Callithrix jacchus: one gene and its partners. The protein of the gene in region 1 purifies or fractionates together with the protein of each later gene. This does not show direct contact. Links are inferred from orthologs where the notes say so. Each region holds a gene or a part of one and is shown on either strand. Other genes may lie near its edges.

The links. The genes of interacting proteins can lie anywhere in the genome.
Region 2: the proteins of mediator of RNA polymerase II transcription subunit 24 (region 1) and CDK19 purify together in Homo sapiens (affinity purification with mass spectrometry; 6 studies listed by BioGRID and IntAct, counting the BioPlex papers as one, with this or other methods). This does not show direct contact. The link is inferred for Callithrix jacchus from reciprocal best matches to the Homo sapiens genes MED24 and CDK19.
Region 3: the proteins of mediator of RNA polymerase II transcription subunit 24 (region 1) and THRA purify together in Homo sapiens (affinity purification with western blotting; 3 studies listed by BioGRID, with this or other methods). This does not show direct contact. The link is inferred for Callithrix jacchus from reciprocal best matches to the Homo sapiens genes MED24 and THRA.
Region 4: the proteins of mediator of RNA polymerase II transcription subunit 24 (region 1) and MED9 purify together in Homo sapiens (affinity purification with mass spectrometry; 5 studies listed by BioGRID and IntAct, with this or other methods). This does not show direct contact. The link is inferred for Callithrix jacchus from reciprocal best matches to the Homo sapiens genes MED24 and MED9.

Annotation. Positions count from the first base shown.
Region 1 is NC_133506.1:72,288,023-72,291,522, forward strand, and holds part of mediator of RNA polymerase II transcription subunit 24, read left to right. Parts: intron 1-623; coding exon 624-671; intron 672-2,348; coding exon 2,349-2,431; intron 2,432-2,723; coding exon 2,724-2,810; intron 2,811-3,500. UniProt on the Homo sapiens protein: Component of the Mediator complex, a coactivator involved in the regulated transcription of nearly all RNA polymerase II-dependent genes.
Region 2 is NC_133505.1:116,792,894-116,796,393, forward strand, and holds part of CDK19 (cyclin-dependent kinase 19), read right to left. Parts: coding exon 3,483-3,500; intron 3,103-3,482; coding exon 3,005-3,102; intron 2,278-3,004; coding exon 2,199-2,277; intron 1,499-2,198; coding exon 1,232-1,498; intron 1-1,231.
Region 3 is NC_133506.1:71,685,831-71,689,330, forward strand, and holds part of THRA (thyroid hormone receptor alpha), read left to right. Parts: intron 1-1,478; coding exon 1,479-1,546; intron 1,547-2,115; coding exon 2,116-2,216; intron 2,217-3,500.
Region 4 is NC_133506.1:69,656,775-69,659,044, forward strand, and holds the end of MED9 (mediator of RNA polymerase II transcription subunit 9), read right to left. Parts: coding exon 2,143-2,270; 3' UTR 501-2,142; downstream 1-500.

The DNA.
Region 1 (3,500 bases):
GGAGCCAGGGAAAGGGGCCCCAGTCCTCCTTGAAGCTGGGGATCTACTTTTGCTTATGGCATTTTTTTTCTGTTGAGTGAGCAGAGGTGCAGGGTCCCTGTGTCCTGTGCCTCGGCCTGGGGGCATAAGGGACCTAGGTACCTATTGGCTGTCATTTAGCTCTTTTTTTTTTTTTTTTGAGATGGAGTTTCGCTGTTGTTACCCAGACTGGAGTGCAATGGCACAATCTTGGCTCACCACAACCTCTGCCTTCTGGGTTTAAGCAATTCTCCTGCCTCAGCCTCCCGAGTAGCTGGGACTACAGGTGCGCACCACCATGCCCAGCTAATTTTTTTTTTTTTTGTATTTTTAGTAGAGACGGGGTTTCACCTTGTTGACCACAATGGTCTCGATCTCTTGACCTTGTGATCCACCCGCTTCAGCTTCCCAAAGTGCTGGGATTATAGGTGTGAGCCACAGCGCCCGGCCTTGGCTGTCATTTAGCTCTAAGTGTGCTCTCACTCTCAGGGCAGGACTGTTCCTGTCTCTCTCCTTGGAGGAGGGGGTTGCGGGGAGGTCTTCAGGGGTAGATGAAAGAGAAAAGAAACAGATCTTGCTGTTTTTCCCTCTGCCTCACCCCCTAGATTCCACAGGTTTTGGTGAAGTTGAAGAAATACTTTCACGGGGACAAGGTGAGTTGAGGAATTGAGATGGAGTCATGGGAGCAAAAACAAGGGCAAGGGAAGGGTCCTTCAGGCCCCAACCGGACAGTGTTCTCATGCCTGGAAGAGAGCTGGATGCGTGTGTGCATGTGTGCACCTCAGTGTGTGTGTGCTTTGCTGTGTATGTGCTTCAGTGTGTGTGCTTTAGTGTGTGTATGTGCTTCAGTGTGTGTTTCAGTGTGTGCACCTGCCTCACCATGAGTGTGCTTCAGTGTGTGTATGTTTTAGTGTGTGTGCTTCAGTTTGCGTGTGTGCTTCAGTGTGTTTCAGTGTGTGCATGCGCTTCCGTGTGTGCTTCAGTGTGTGTGCGCTTCAGTGTGTGCGCTTTAGAGTGTGTGCTTCAGTGTGTGTGTTTCAGTGTGTGTGCTTCAGTGTGTGTGCGCTTCAGTGTGTGTGCTTCAGTGTGTGTGTGTTTCAGTGTGTGTGCTTCAGTGTGTGCGCTTTAGAGTGTGTGTGCTTCAGTGTGTGTGCACTTCAGTGTGTTCGCTTCAGTGTATGTGCTTCAGTGTGTGCACTTCAGTGTGTTCGCTTCAGTGTATGTGCTTCAGTGTGTGTGTGTGCTTCAGTGTGTGTGCACTTCAGTGTGTGTTCGCTTCAGTGTATGTATGCTTCAGTGTGTGTGTGCTTCAGTGTGTATGTGCGCTTCAGTGTGTGTGCGCTTCAGTGTGTGTGTGTGCTTCAGTGTGTATGTGTGCTTGTGTGTGCGCTTCAGTGTGTGTGTGCTTCAGTGTGTATGTGCGCTTGTGTGTGTGCGCTTCAGTGTGTGTGCTTCAGTGTGTGTGTGTGCTTCAGTGTGTATGTGCGCTTCAGTGTGTGTGTGCTTCAGTGTGCGTGTGCTTCAGTGTGCGTGTGCTTCAGTGTGTGTGTGCTTCAGTGTGTGTGTGTGCTTCAGTGTGCATGTGCTTCAGTGTGCGTGTACTTCAGTGTGTGTGCTTCAGTGTGTGTGTGCTTCAGTGTGCGTGTACTTCAGTGTGTGTGTGCTTCAGTGTGTATGTGTGCTTCAGTGTGCATGTGCTTCAGTGTGCGTGTACTTCAGTGTGTGTGCTTCAGTGTGCGTGTGCTTCAGTGTGTGTGTGCTTCAGTGTGTGTGTACTTCAGTGTGTGTGTGTGCTTCAGTGTGTGTGTGTGCTTCAGTGTGTGTGCGTGCTTCAGTGTGTGTGTGCTTCAGTGTGTGTGTGCGCTTCAGTGTGTATGTGTGCTTCAGTGTGTGTGTGTTCAGTGTGTGTGCGCTTCAGTATGTGTATGTGCTTCAGTGTGTGCGCCTGCTTCAGCATGAGTATGCTTCAGTGTGCGTGTGCTTCAGTTTGTGTGTGTTTCAGCATGTGCACCTGTGTCAGAGTGTGTGTGTGTTCGCTTCAGCATGTGCGTGCACCCACAGCATATACCCAGGCTCCAGGCAGAAGGCAGCTAGGCAGCTCAGGCTGATGCCTCCAGCAGTCAAGCTTGCCTGAGATGATAAGGGCCGGGTGGCGCTGTGGGGAGCAGTGATGCCGCGTACTTCTTCCCAGCCAGTCGCTGGGAACCAGCGGTGGGCAGGGCCTGCTTACAGGCTGTGTATCCAGCAGCGTGTCCTTGTGAGCCTGCCCTGCAGGTTGAGGGAGGAGCAGAGGACCTGGAAACCAGGTAGACACTTCTGTCTCTTTTTAGGACTTCACTGAGGATGTCAACTGTGCTTTTGAGTTCCTGCTGAAGCTCACACCCTTGTTGGACAAAGCTGACCAGCGCTGCAAGTATGAGCTCCCCTGCTCACCCCTGCCCTACTGGAAGGTGTTCTGGGCTCTTCCCTGATCTGTGCCTGAAAAGCTTCAGGGGACTCTGTCCCCTTGTTCACTCCCCTTGGGAGGGGCAGAAAGCAGAAGCCCATAGTTGTCAAGTCCGCAGAGCCCCTCTACTGTCCCTCAGGCACTCCAGATTTTCCTCATCCTGAAAGAGGGAGGAGGATGCTCAGGGACCTGCTGCTCCCTCTGCCCCCCAACATCCCAGCCAGATGCACAGTTCCCTCAGCATCTTTCTCCCTCGCAGCTGTGACTGTACAAACTTCCTGCTCCAAGAATGTGGCAAGCAGGGGCTTCTGTCTGAGGCCAGCGTGAACAACCTTATGACTAAGCGGTAAGTGTGAGCGCACCTGGGCTACCCCAAGAGCCCCTTGATCTCTTTCTTGTTACGATGGGCCTGCTGGGTGCCTTTCAATCTTCTGTCTAAAGTGTGGGCTGCAAGTGACTGGGATCATGCCTCAGTGTACAGGGAACAGGAAGGAAAAGAAGGCACCAGTGTCTTCAGACCAGAGTTTTACACTCTTAGTCACTGCTCTTTAACTCATACCCATCTTTGTGATAAAAGTAAAAATCCTAGGCCGGAGGCGGGTGGATTACTTGGAGGCTAGGAGTTCAAGACCAGCCTGGCCAACATGGCAAAACCCCATCTCTACTAAAAATACAAAAATCAGCTGGGCATGTGGTATGCACCTGTAATCCCAGCTACTTGGGAGGCTGAGGCATGAGCATTGCTTAAACCCAGGAGGTGGAGATTGCAGTGAGCTGAGATTGCACCATTGCACTCCAGCCTCGGCAACAGAGTGAGACCTTGTCTCAAAAAAAAAAAAAAAAAAAAAAAATTCTGAATCTTCTTTTAATCTTAAATCTGCTTTCAGAGCATTTAAGATGAATCATAGGCTGGGTGGGGTGGCTCATGCCTTAATCCCAGCACTTTGGGAGGCTGAGGCAGGTGGATCACAAGATCAGGTGAAACCCCGTCTCTACCAAAAATAGAAAAATTAGCAAGGTTTGGTGATGCGGCCTG
Region 2 (3,500 bases), on another chromosome or scaffold:
CAGTGGTGTTTTTACGCACTGCCATGGCCCTGCCTTGAATAAAGTCTGCCTTACCAACTTTAACAAGTGTTTATGTAAATTTTTTTAACACAGGTTAATATGATTTAATCAGAGACACAAAGATGAACCAGTATATAGGAAGTATTTGTTGCTCAGATAACAGGGTGGGGAACAGATTTCATAACAAAATTCAAATATGCTCGTGCTACTACCCAGATAGCAAGCTGTTTTCAGATCAAACTGAAGCCTCAATTTGTTTAATTGGAACCAAGTGGAAGTAATATGTACCCTTCTGCTGGCAGGGATCTTCAGAAGAGAAGTTTTTCAGAGAAGTAGCTGTGTGGAAACACATTCGTTTTGGAGCTATTCAAAATGTAAAGGCAGTTTAGGCAGCTATTTGTTACGTCCTTCTTGTTACCGTTTCTCTCTATTGCAGTTCCTCATCAGTGAGTTTATGGCTCCCTTGCCAGAGGTTTTGTTTTCTATTAACTCTATCCTAAGTACTCATCTCCAAGAGTTCCCTGAGGGACTGTGGTTCTAAACTTAAAAAAAAAAAAAAATTAAGTTTTCTCTTCTTCTTGGATGTTTTCTTAACTTGTTACTACCTTGAAAAGAATTTTATTTTTCAAGATTTCCTACAGTTATCACAATGGGTATTTTTACCTTTCTCTCCAAATACCAATCCTTAAACTTAGTTCCGTTAATTTCCGGAATTAGTACTGCAATTGGTGTTCTCTTTTTATCTGAATAACAGTATTTTCTAGTCTCAAAATTATTTCTATTGAGACTTAACAGTTATTTCAGAGAAGCCTCAGTCTTAGCCCCCTTCTCTTCTTCATCTATGTAGCTATTTTCTCCCAGGAAGAGCATATCTTTCTGAAGAATGCAATTAATTTTGTCCATAATAAGCAACCACTCGCCTCCTCTTTTCGACTGCACTGCTAAGGCAGATGTAAGGGTAAAATGATGAAGTTTTCTTTAAGGAGGGGGGCGCTCCCCTCCCTACCTTCCTCTCCTAAGGGGTTCAGGATACATAAGGCAGAATATGAGATAGCTTACAATTATATGAAATATGATGAAAATCTTCCCTTTCAAAGAATGCCCTAGAAATAGGATTGTATAGGTGGCACAGTCAAATCTAAGAGTTAAGTGTTACCTAACTCTAACAGGGTCTAGTATAAATCTATTCCCACTTCATAAAGCATATGAACATTAGACATTCAGGGAGTACCTGATAATCCGAGGGCATCACAGGCCCGCCTGAGTTTGCGCCTGAAGGCCCTAGCCGTGGCTTCTTGTTCGGAGGCACCTGGTTCAGGCCGGAGTCCTGGCTGTGCTGCAACCCTGTTCCAGTGCCCCCGACCCCGGCCCCGGCCCCACCAGCGGTCCCGTTGGTCTGGGTGCTGTTCTGCTGGGGTGGGGGCGCCTGTGGAGGGGCTGCTGCCTGCTGTGGAGGGGCTGTGGGCTGCTGATGCTGGTTCTGCTGCTGTTGCTGATTCTTTTAAGGGGAAAGAAGCAAGCTTGGTATGAAACCAAATTAACAAAAACTTTCTTTAATTATTTGATATGCACATGAGGCTGCTGACCAACCTGGGGGAGCAATCTATGTGCAACACTAGAGTGACTGGGAGGACAGGAGAATGGAGCAGCCAGGGAGCACGGTGTTCCCAAAAGGCAGGGCGCCAAGCCCCAAACAGGGCTCTTACCCTGAAGTTCCTTTAGATTGCACAGTGATCCTCCAAATCAGTCACAGACGGCCACAGGCACATCAGAAATAGACTTCTTAGAGCTCACAAAAAGCTATAAGAAATCTTTTCAATCATGACTCTGGAAAGGCAGAACAGTCTGGAGAGTGAGCCAATATATCCAGTTAAGAGGAAAGAATAGAGTGATGCTTGCAAAAGTCAGCCTGCATAAAGGGGTGGCAGTGACAGCAAACAAACAGCAAGAGCAAGAAGGGGGACTCCAGGAGTGGAACAGGCTGGGGCACACACCGGAAGCTCAGGTATCCGCGAGCTGCTCATACTTCAAACTTCAGGGCACCTTTACAATCCCCAAACTTCCACGGAAAGATACATAAAAATTTAATTAAATATTAGAAAAGGTCGTTAAATATACAGGAATTATGGAGTGATACCTAAGCTATCTTTTTGCCTCCCTCGCTCTTTGGAAATGAAAGTATAGCATGCAGTTTATACCTTGTCACCTTTTTCTTCAGGTTCATCTTCATTAAGGAATTCTCGTTTGGGGTATGGAATCTGGCAGCCAGCAAATACACTAAAAATCATTAAAAAGAAAAAAAAATATCATGATCTAAAATCTATAATATCATACCTTGTTAATTTAAAATTCCAATTTGTTTTTCTTCACTTATTTCCTACTCTTCATCTGTGGCTGGTGTTTGCTATGTGCCTCCTATCACAACTTAAGCAATAAGAAAAGAACAATCAATTGTATGAAGTTTTATAATAATTGCTACTTTCAATTTCAAATCTTGACTGCTGCTAGCTAGTCAACATATTGGACATAGAAGTTTCTCTATACTAACTTCATTAGCACCAAAACTAATTTGTATTTGCTTTAACAAGAATAACTGCACCTCTTGTAGATGAAAACACAAAGTATATACTTGGGGGTAAGAAGGATGAAGTACAGGGGTTTTGTAGCGTAATGGACATGCTCTGGAAGACAGATTAACTTCTCAGTTACCTGCTGGTTTGGCTGAATTTCTGATCCGGCCAAATGGTCTATAAAGATCTTAACTAGTCTCAGCTTTAGTTTTCATCTGTAAAACTGCAAATGGTCATTCCTAAAACACTTGTTTTCATTCATACCTCTCTACAGCTTTGCCTGTTTCAAAATGTGGAAGCTTTGTCTCAAGCAGTCTTTAGGTGGTATTGCTAAAAAAGCTGAATACTTCAGTAGCAAGTGCTTCCCTTGCTTTCAACCACCATGCGACATCCTCAGCCTAGAGCAAAGGACACAGAAAAGACGAGATACATACTCTAATGTTGGCAAGGGGTCCTCCTGAAAATAGGGATCCTGCAGAGCTTGCTCTGAGGTAATTCTCTTGGTTGGATCCATGGTCAGGAGTTTCTGAAGCTAGAGTGACACACAGGAAATTTACAACACACGAAAAGGTTGTTTACAAGTCAACACCTTGTCTTTTGTATTACTGTGTAACAGGATTAATATGAAATATTTTGTATAGCTCACTGCAGATTATACATATTACGTACTTTTATGTAAAACTGGCAGAAATCATCAGGATTAAAGCCATTTTAAAGTTCATTTTCTGCTGATAAATCATTTAAAAAGTTAATGCTGAAAGTTAAGGGTGACATCATAACAAAAAAATGTTTAATTTTGCCCCAGTATCCACCAATTTCTTTAGTTTCTAAAGAGGAGGAATAGCTAAGTAAATTGGAGAAGGCAAGAGTTGCACCAAGGATCAGATTTCAGTCTGGGAGAGAAGCACCTACCAAGAGGAACACTTTGCT
Region 3 (3,500 bases), about 600 kb from region 1:
AGAGGCTGTGAGTCTGGTGGTAACTGCTGAAGACACCAGCTCCACTGGGGCCTAGGTGGCCTGAGTTCCCCTGCAGCCAACCCTCTGGAAGACGGGAGGGAGACCTGACCTTTCAGCCTCGTAGGAACTAGACAGGAGTAATCCCCAGGGGGCGTGGAGCACAGGGCTGTCTGTGACTGTGACCCTGGCCAAGGTCACTGTGTCAGTGTGTTGGGAGCTGTATCCGGCTCCAGGAGGAAGGGGCCTGCAACATGCCACAGGCAGGGTGGGTGCGGAGGTTATGCAATCCTTGCATGCATGTAGACAGCTTACATAACCTGTGTGCGCCGAGGTTATGTAACGTTTGTGTGGAGAGCTGGCAACATATATGTGCAGTGGCTGAGGGTTGCTGATAATACTTTGCACAGAGGGGCTCAGGCATGGCTGACTCCAGCTCATGGTGTCACCAGGCACAAGTGGGGCCTCAGCTTGCTGCTCTGTTAAATGTAGGCTGTGCAGAGGGTGGCTCTAGTGTTTTCCATTGCTGTGGGTTACTTAGCATGTGTGTATGACGTGGAACTCAAGCAACACCTGCACACGGGAGGGATGGGGGTGAGTTCATGAGGTGCCTGTGCAGAGGGCTGCGTAACACATGGGCATATCCTGGAGGTCGTATAGCACATTAAGAATGCCCTGGAGGCCGGGCGCGGTGGCTCACGCCTGTAATCCCAGCACTTTGGGAGGCCGAGGTGGGTGGATCACGAGGTCAAGAGATCAAGACCATCCTGGTCAACGTGGTGAAACCCCGTCTCTACTAAAAATACAAAAAATTAGCTGGGCGTGGCGGCACATGCCTGTAGTCCCAGCTACTCAGGAGGCTGAGGCAGGAGAATTGCCTGAACCCAGGAGGCGGAGGTTGCGGTGAGCCGAGATTGCACCATTGCACTCCAGCCTGGGTAGCAAGAGCGAAACTCCATCTCAATTAAAAAAAAAAACAAAAAAACAATGCCCCGGAAATTACACAGATATGTCAGCCCTGGCGCATACTTACTATACTTGGGTTTATGGCGAAGGCTGCATGGTTATTCATCCGCGCCAGTGTTATGTTGCATATGTATGTGTGTGTTCTATAGGTTACGTAGCTCTAAGCATATCCTGAGAATTCTTCCAGCGTATTTATCATGTACTACAAGATGAGGATGTCCCGTGGATGATGGGAGCTTCAGGTGTGCTTCGGGTCTTCTGGCGGGTGAACGTGTGTGTGTTGGGGCTCTAGAGCAGGTTTGTGCTGCAGCCAAGCCCCTTATCTTTCTCTCCTGCAGCTTCCAGATAGCTGGACCCTTTTAAGCATTGTCAGCTGACCCAGGGGGGTCGAGGGAGGTAGAATGAGGACACAAAATGGAAAGAATCAGGCCTGGGGGGATTGTATAAGCCTCTCGGAGGAGAAGGGGGTTGCCCAAAGACTGCTCTGTGATTCTATCCACTTTACCCCCATCCAGTGCCAGGTCACCAGATGGAAAGAGAAAAAGAAAGAACGGCCAATGTTCCCTGAAAACCAGCATGTCAGGTGAGGCTGGCCATGCGTGCCCCTTCTCCACACCCGACCCCACCAAACCTGGCCAGGCCTCCTCCGGACCTGGACGTGTCCCAGCAGCTCCTGTGTTCCCTGCGGGGAGCCTCCTAGAGGGCTTGGGATGGCCTTGTCTGGGGTGAGAAAGGTGATGGGGGATGTACCCTGCTTTTGAGGGTGTATTAGATCATGAAGGCCTCTTCCCTCCTTCCCTAACACCCTCATCTGAGGCCCCACTGGAATCAGGACCTGAGCTGAAGGACTGAGGGGCTTTCCCCTCCCCAGTGAGCTGCTGACACTTATTTTTCCCTCCCCACCATCCTCTGCCTTGTAGATAGAGCAAGAAGAAAGCCCTGAATGGGCAATCAGAAGACCTGAGATTCTTCATACTCTTAGGGCAGAGGATGGGCAAGTTCACCCCCAGTGTCTCTCTAGGATTCTACCAGGGAGGCTGGTCTAGGAGAGGGGCCAAAAACAAAAAGTTGAGGGAAGGGGAAAAGTGTGAGGGCCTCTGTGCTGGGACTGCAAGCCATGCCTGCCTTCCTCCATCCTTTCCTTCCTCCCAGGGTATATCCCTAGTTACCTGGACAAAGACGAGCAGTGTGTCGTGTGTGGGGACAAGGCAACTGGTTATCACTACCGCTGTATCACTTGTGAGGGCTGCAAGGTATGGAAGCCACCTCCTGCCCCTCCCCTGCCACCTGAGCCCCATCTTACTCCCTTTAAGTCTCTCAGAACCTGGCACGACAGACAAAATCTATAAATATGTCAATATGTCACCTAAAGCCCACCTGTTAGGTCATCACTTCTTTTTTTTTTTTTTTTTTTTTTTTGAGATGGAATTTCACTCTTGTCACCCAGGCTGAAGTGCAGTAGCATGATCTCAGCTCACTGCCACCTCCACCTACCGGGTTCAAACAATTCCCCTACCTCGGCCTCCCAAGTAGCTGGGATTACAGGCATGTGCCACCAGACCCAGCTAATTTTTTTGGATTTTTAGTAGAGACGGGGTTTCACCATGTTGGCCAGGTTGGTCTTGAACTCTTGACCTCAGGTGATCCACCTGCCTTGGCCTCCCAAAGTGCTGGGATTATAGGAGTGAGCCACTGCGCCTGGCCACTTTCTCTTCTGCTACTCATTCATTCATAATCCCTCCTCTGCCACTCACAAGAAAATTGCCTAGCTTTTCTTAGCCTCAGTTTCTTCATCTATAAAATAAGGATAATCATTCCATCTACCTTCTAGCATTGTTGGGAAAATTAAATGGGATAATTCACTTGAAGTGTTTAAAACAGTAACACTGGATGCCGTGGCTCACGCCTAAAAATCCCAGTCCTTTGGGAGGAAGGTCAAGGTGGGAGCATCCCTTGATCCCAGGAGTTTGAGACCAGCCTGGGCAACATAGCAAGACCCTGTCTTTACAAAATAAAAATTAAAGAAATTAGCTAGGTGTGGTGGTGCATGCCTATAGTCCCAGCTACTCAAGAGGCTGAGGTGGGAGGATTGCTTGAACCCAAAAAGTTAAGGCTGCAGTGAATTGTGATGGTGCTACTGCACTCCAGTCTAGGTGACAGAGCAAGACTCTGTCTCAAAATAAAAGAAAACATAAAAGATAACTCTCCCTATTGCTGTGTGCGGCAGCTCACACCTGTAATCCCAGCACTTTAGGAGGCCGAGGCGGGTGGATCACCAGAGGTCGGGAGTTTGAGACCAGCCTGACCAACATGGAAAAACCCCATCTCTACTAAAAATACAAAATTAGCTGGGCGTGGTGGTGCATGCCTGTATTCCCAGATACTCGGGAGGGTGAAGCAGGAGAATTGCTTGAACCCAGGAGATGGAGGTTGCAGTAAACTGAGATTGTACCATTGCACTCCAATCTGGGCAACAAGAGTGAAACTCCATCTCAATAAATAAATAAGTAAATAAAACAGACTGGGTGTGGTGGCTC
Region 4 (2,270 bases), about 2.6 Mb from region 1:
GGGCAGAGCACCCTCTGCATGGGCTTGCTGTGAGGATTAAGTGTGGTATCTGAAAAGTACTTAGCACAAATGCATGCCACCCAGTAATCCAAATAATTAGTGGCTTTGAGAGGGTGCTCAGCCCTGTGAGGAACACTCAACAATTGTCCTAGAAGGATTTCAACCCTGCTCAGGGAGGGCAGTTCTGGCAGGACTAAACCTCCAGTCACCAAAAGGCACTGGACCCCCACTCCCACCCTGCCACTCCATCAAAGGCAACCACGGATGCCCAGGGGCCCGTGCCAGGCAGGGGCAGGGATGACCTGCCAGGCAAACTCCCCTTGAGGCCAGCCGGGAGAGGAGTTCCTGTTCCACACTGGTTCAGCAGGTGAGTGGAGGGAGTTGAGGAACAGAGGGTTGGTTCTGTGTCTGAACAGAGTAAGAGAAACATTTTCCTCTAAATGATCTGAGAGCATCCCACTATGAATTTCTCAGTACAGAAAGCATGATGTCCAGAAACAGCAGAGTACAAGTCCTTTTAATTATGCGTTTGAATGTCACAAGTCAAAACAGGAACACAAGGTAGGCTCCAGCTCCCTCCACCCGCGTGAGGAGCCCTTGTTCATTTCAGCCTTGCATTCAGACCCCAAGGGTCTTAGATTTCCATGTGCTTCATGTTTCATGGTATCTGTCAGAGCCTTAAAAGTGGCCGACCCGCAACTGTGAAATTTCAAGGAAATAACTGATTCAGTTAAATAACAGTTCCAAGGTAGAACTGGTCTAACAGGTGACCACCCACTTGAATTCCGAGCCTACTTTTTTGTGCAAAGCCACTGAAATCTGGTCTCCTCCTTCACACATCCCCAGGTCCCCAATATACCACCCACATTCTGATAGGTAGCTGCAGTTGGACACTAATGGCAGCTCTGCTAAAAACATCTTCACCCAGTCCTCCTACCAATGAGGTCAGTTGGCGGGCATCTGCTAAGTCCCCGAAGTGGTCAGCGCAGGTTGTGTGCTCATTCCTAGACCCAAACAACACTCCAGGACTTGGCACCCCCTCTTGGAGAAGCAAGGGTGAGAACTACTCCTACCTCAATTTGACAGTCAAGGGAGAGCAAACAAAGAAAATGTCCCATCCGGAAGAAATCAGGGATGCTGGGGAAATGAGGGCTGCTATAAACCTTTAAGAGCTCAAACTTGGCTGTGTCACTGTCAGGCCTAGCTCATGGCTGAGGACCACCCGAACTGCCCCTCTCTGAACACAAGGTGCATCATGAACCCCTCTGCAGCATAGTACACATCGCTGCCACAAGTGAGAACAGAAGGGAAAGACCTTTTCACCACGGCAATGGGAATCTGAAATGACAGAAGACAGGTCTGTCCGCCTGAAGACCTCTTCCAGCCTGAGTGGAAAGGACGGCCCCTTGCCAGCCCTGGGCACTGACTGAAGGTGCCGAGCAAGGAAGAGAGCAAGCGCTGAAGGAGAGGAGAGTGCTAGGAAGCAGGGAAGCTGCAGCCAGGGGCTGCCTGGCAGGGGTGTGGGCCGACACCCCCACAGCTATAGTTCCTTCACCGCTCAAACAGAAAAGGAACCAAACTGGGAAAAAAGCCACCCTGTGGCCTTTCAAAACATTCTCTCACAGCTCTATGCCATATGAGCGCAGGCTTAATTTGTCCAGTGGATTCTATGCAAGTGTTTCAAGAAGCTGCTGCTAACAGGAACAATATGTACCTGGTACACACTGATCCTATGGGGGTGGGAGGAGGGGGAGGGAAGGAAGCAGAGAGGAACCGCCTCCCTTCTTACTGTGTTCTTCAGATCTGTCAGTGGGGCTGGATGCGAAGCAGATGGCCCCCTCCCCAGAGGCAAGGGAGAGTCCTCCACCCCCTCCGCAGCCTCCAGGAGCATTCTGACTTCCACCAGCAGGCACTCCAGTTATTATGCATCTAGACATATGGATCTACACAAGGAAGCCCCAGCACAGCCAAGCTCTCGGCGCTGGCTCCCGCACAGGAACCCCGCCCCTGCAGCTTGAAGTTCTGAGCTGGGTTCCACAGGAACTGTGCCCCAACAAGCGTTCGGCCGGGGGGGTAGTGGCTGTGGGGTGACAGGCCATTTGCTTCCCTCTTTCTCAGGTGCTCCTGGAAGTCGGCCTCGCTCTACTCCTTGGGGATTTCGAACATGCAGAGGCTCTTGTACTTTTGCAGAAGCTCGTTCTTGGTCCTGACTTGATCCCGGAGGCTGTGCAGCTGCTGCTGCTGCTGTTCAGGGCTCAGGTGGATGCCGG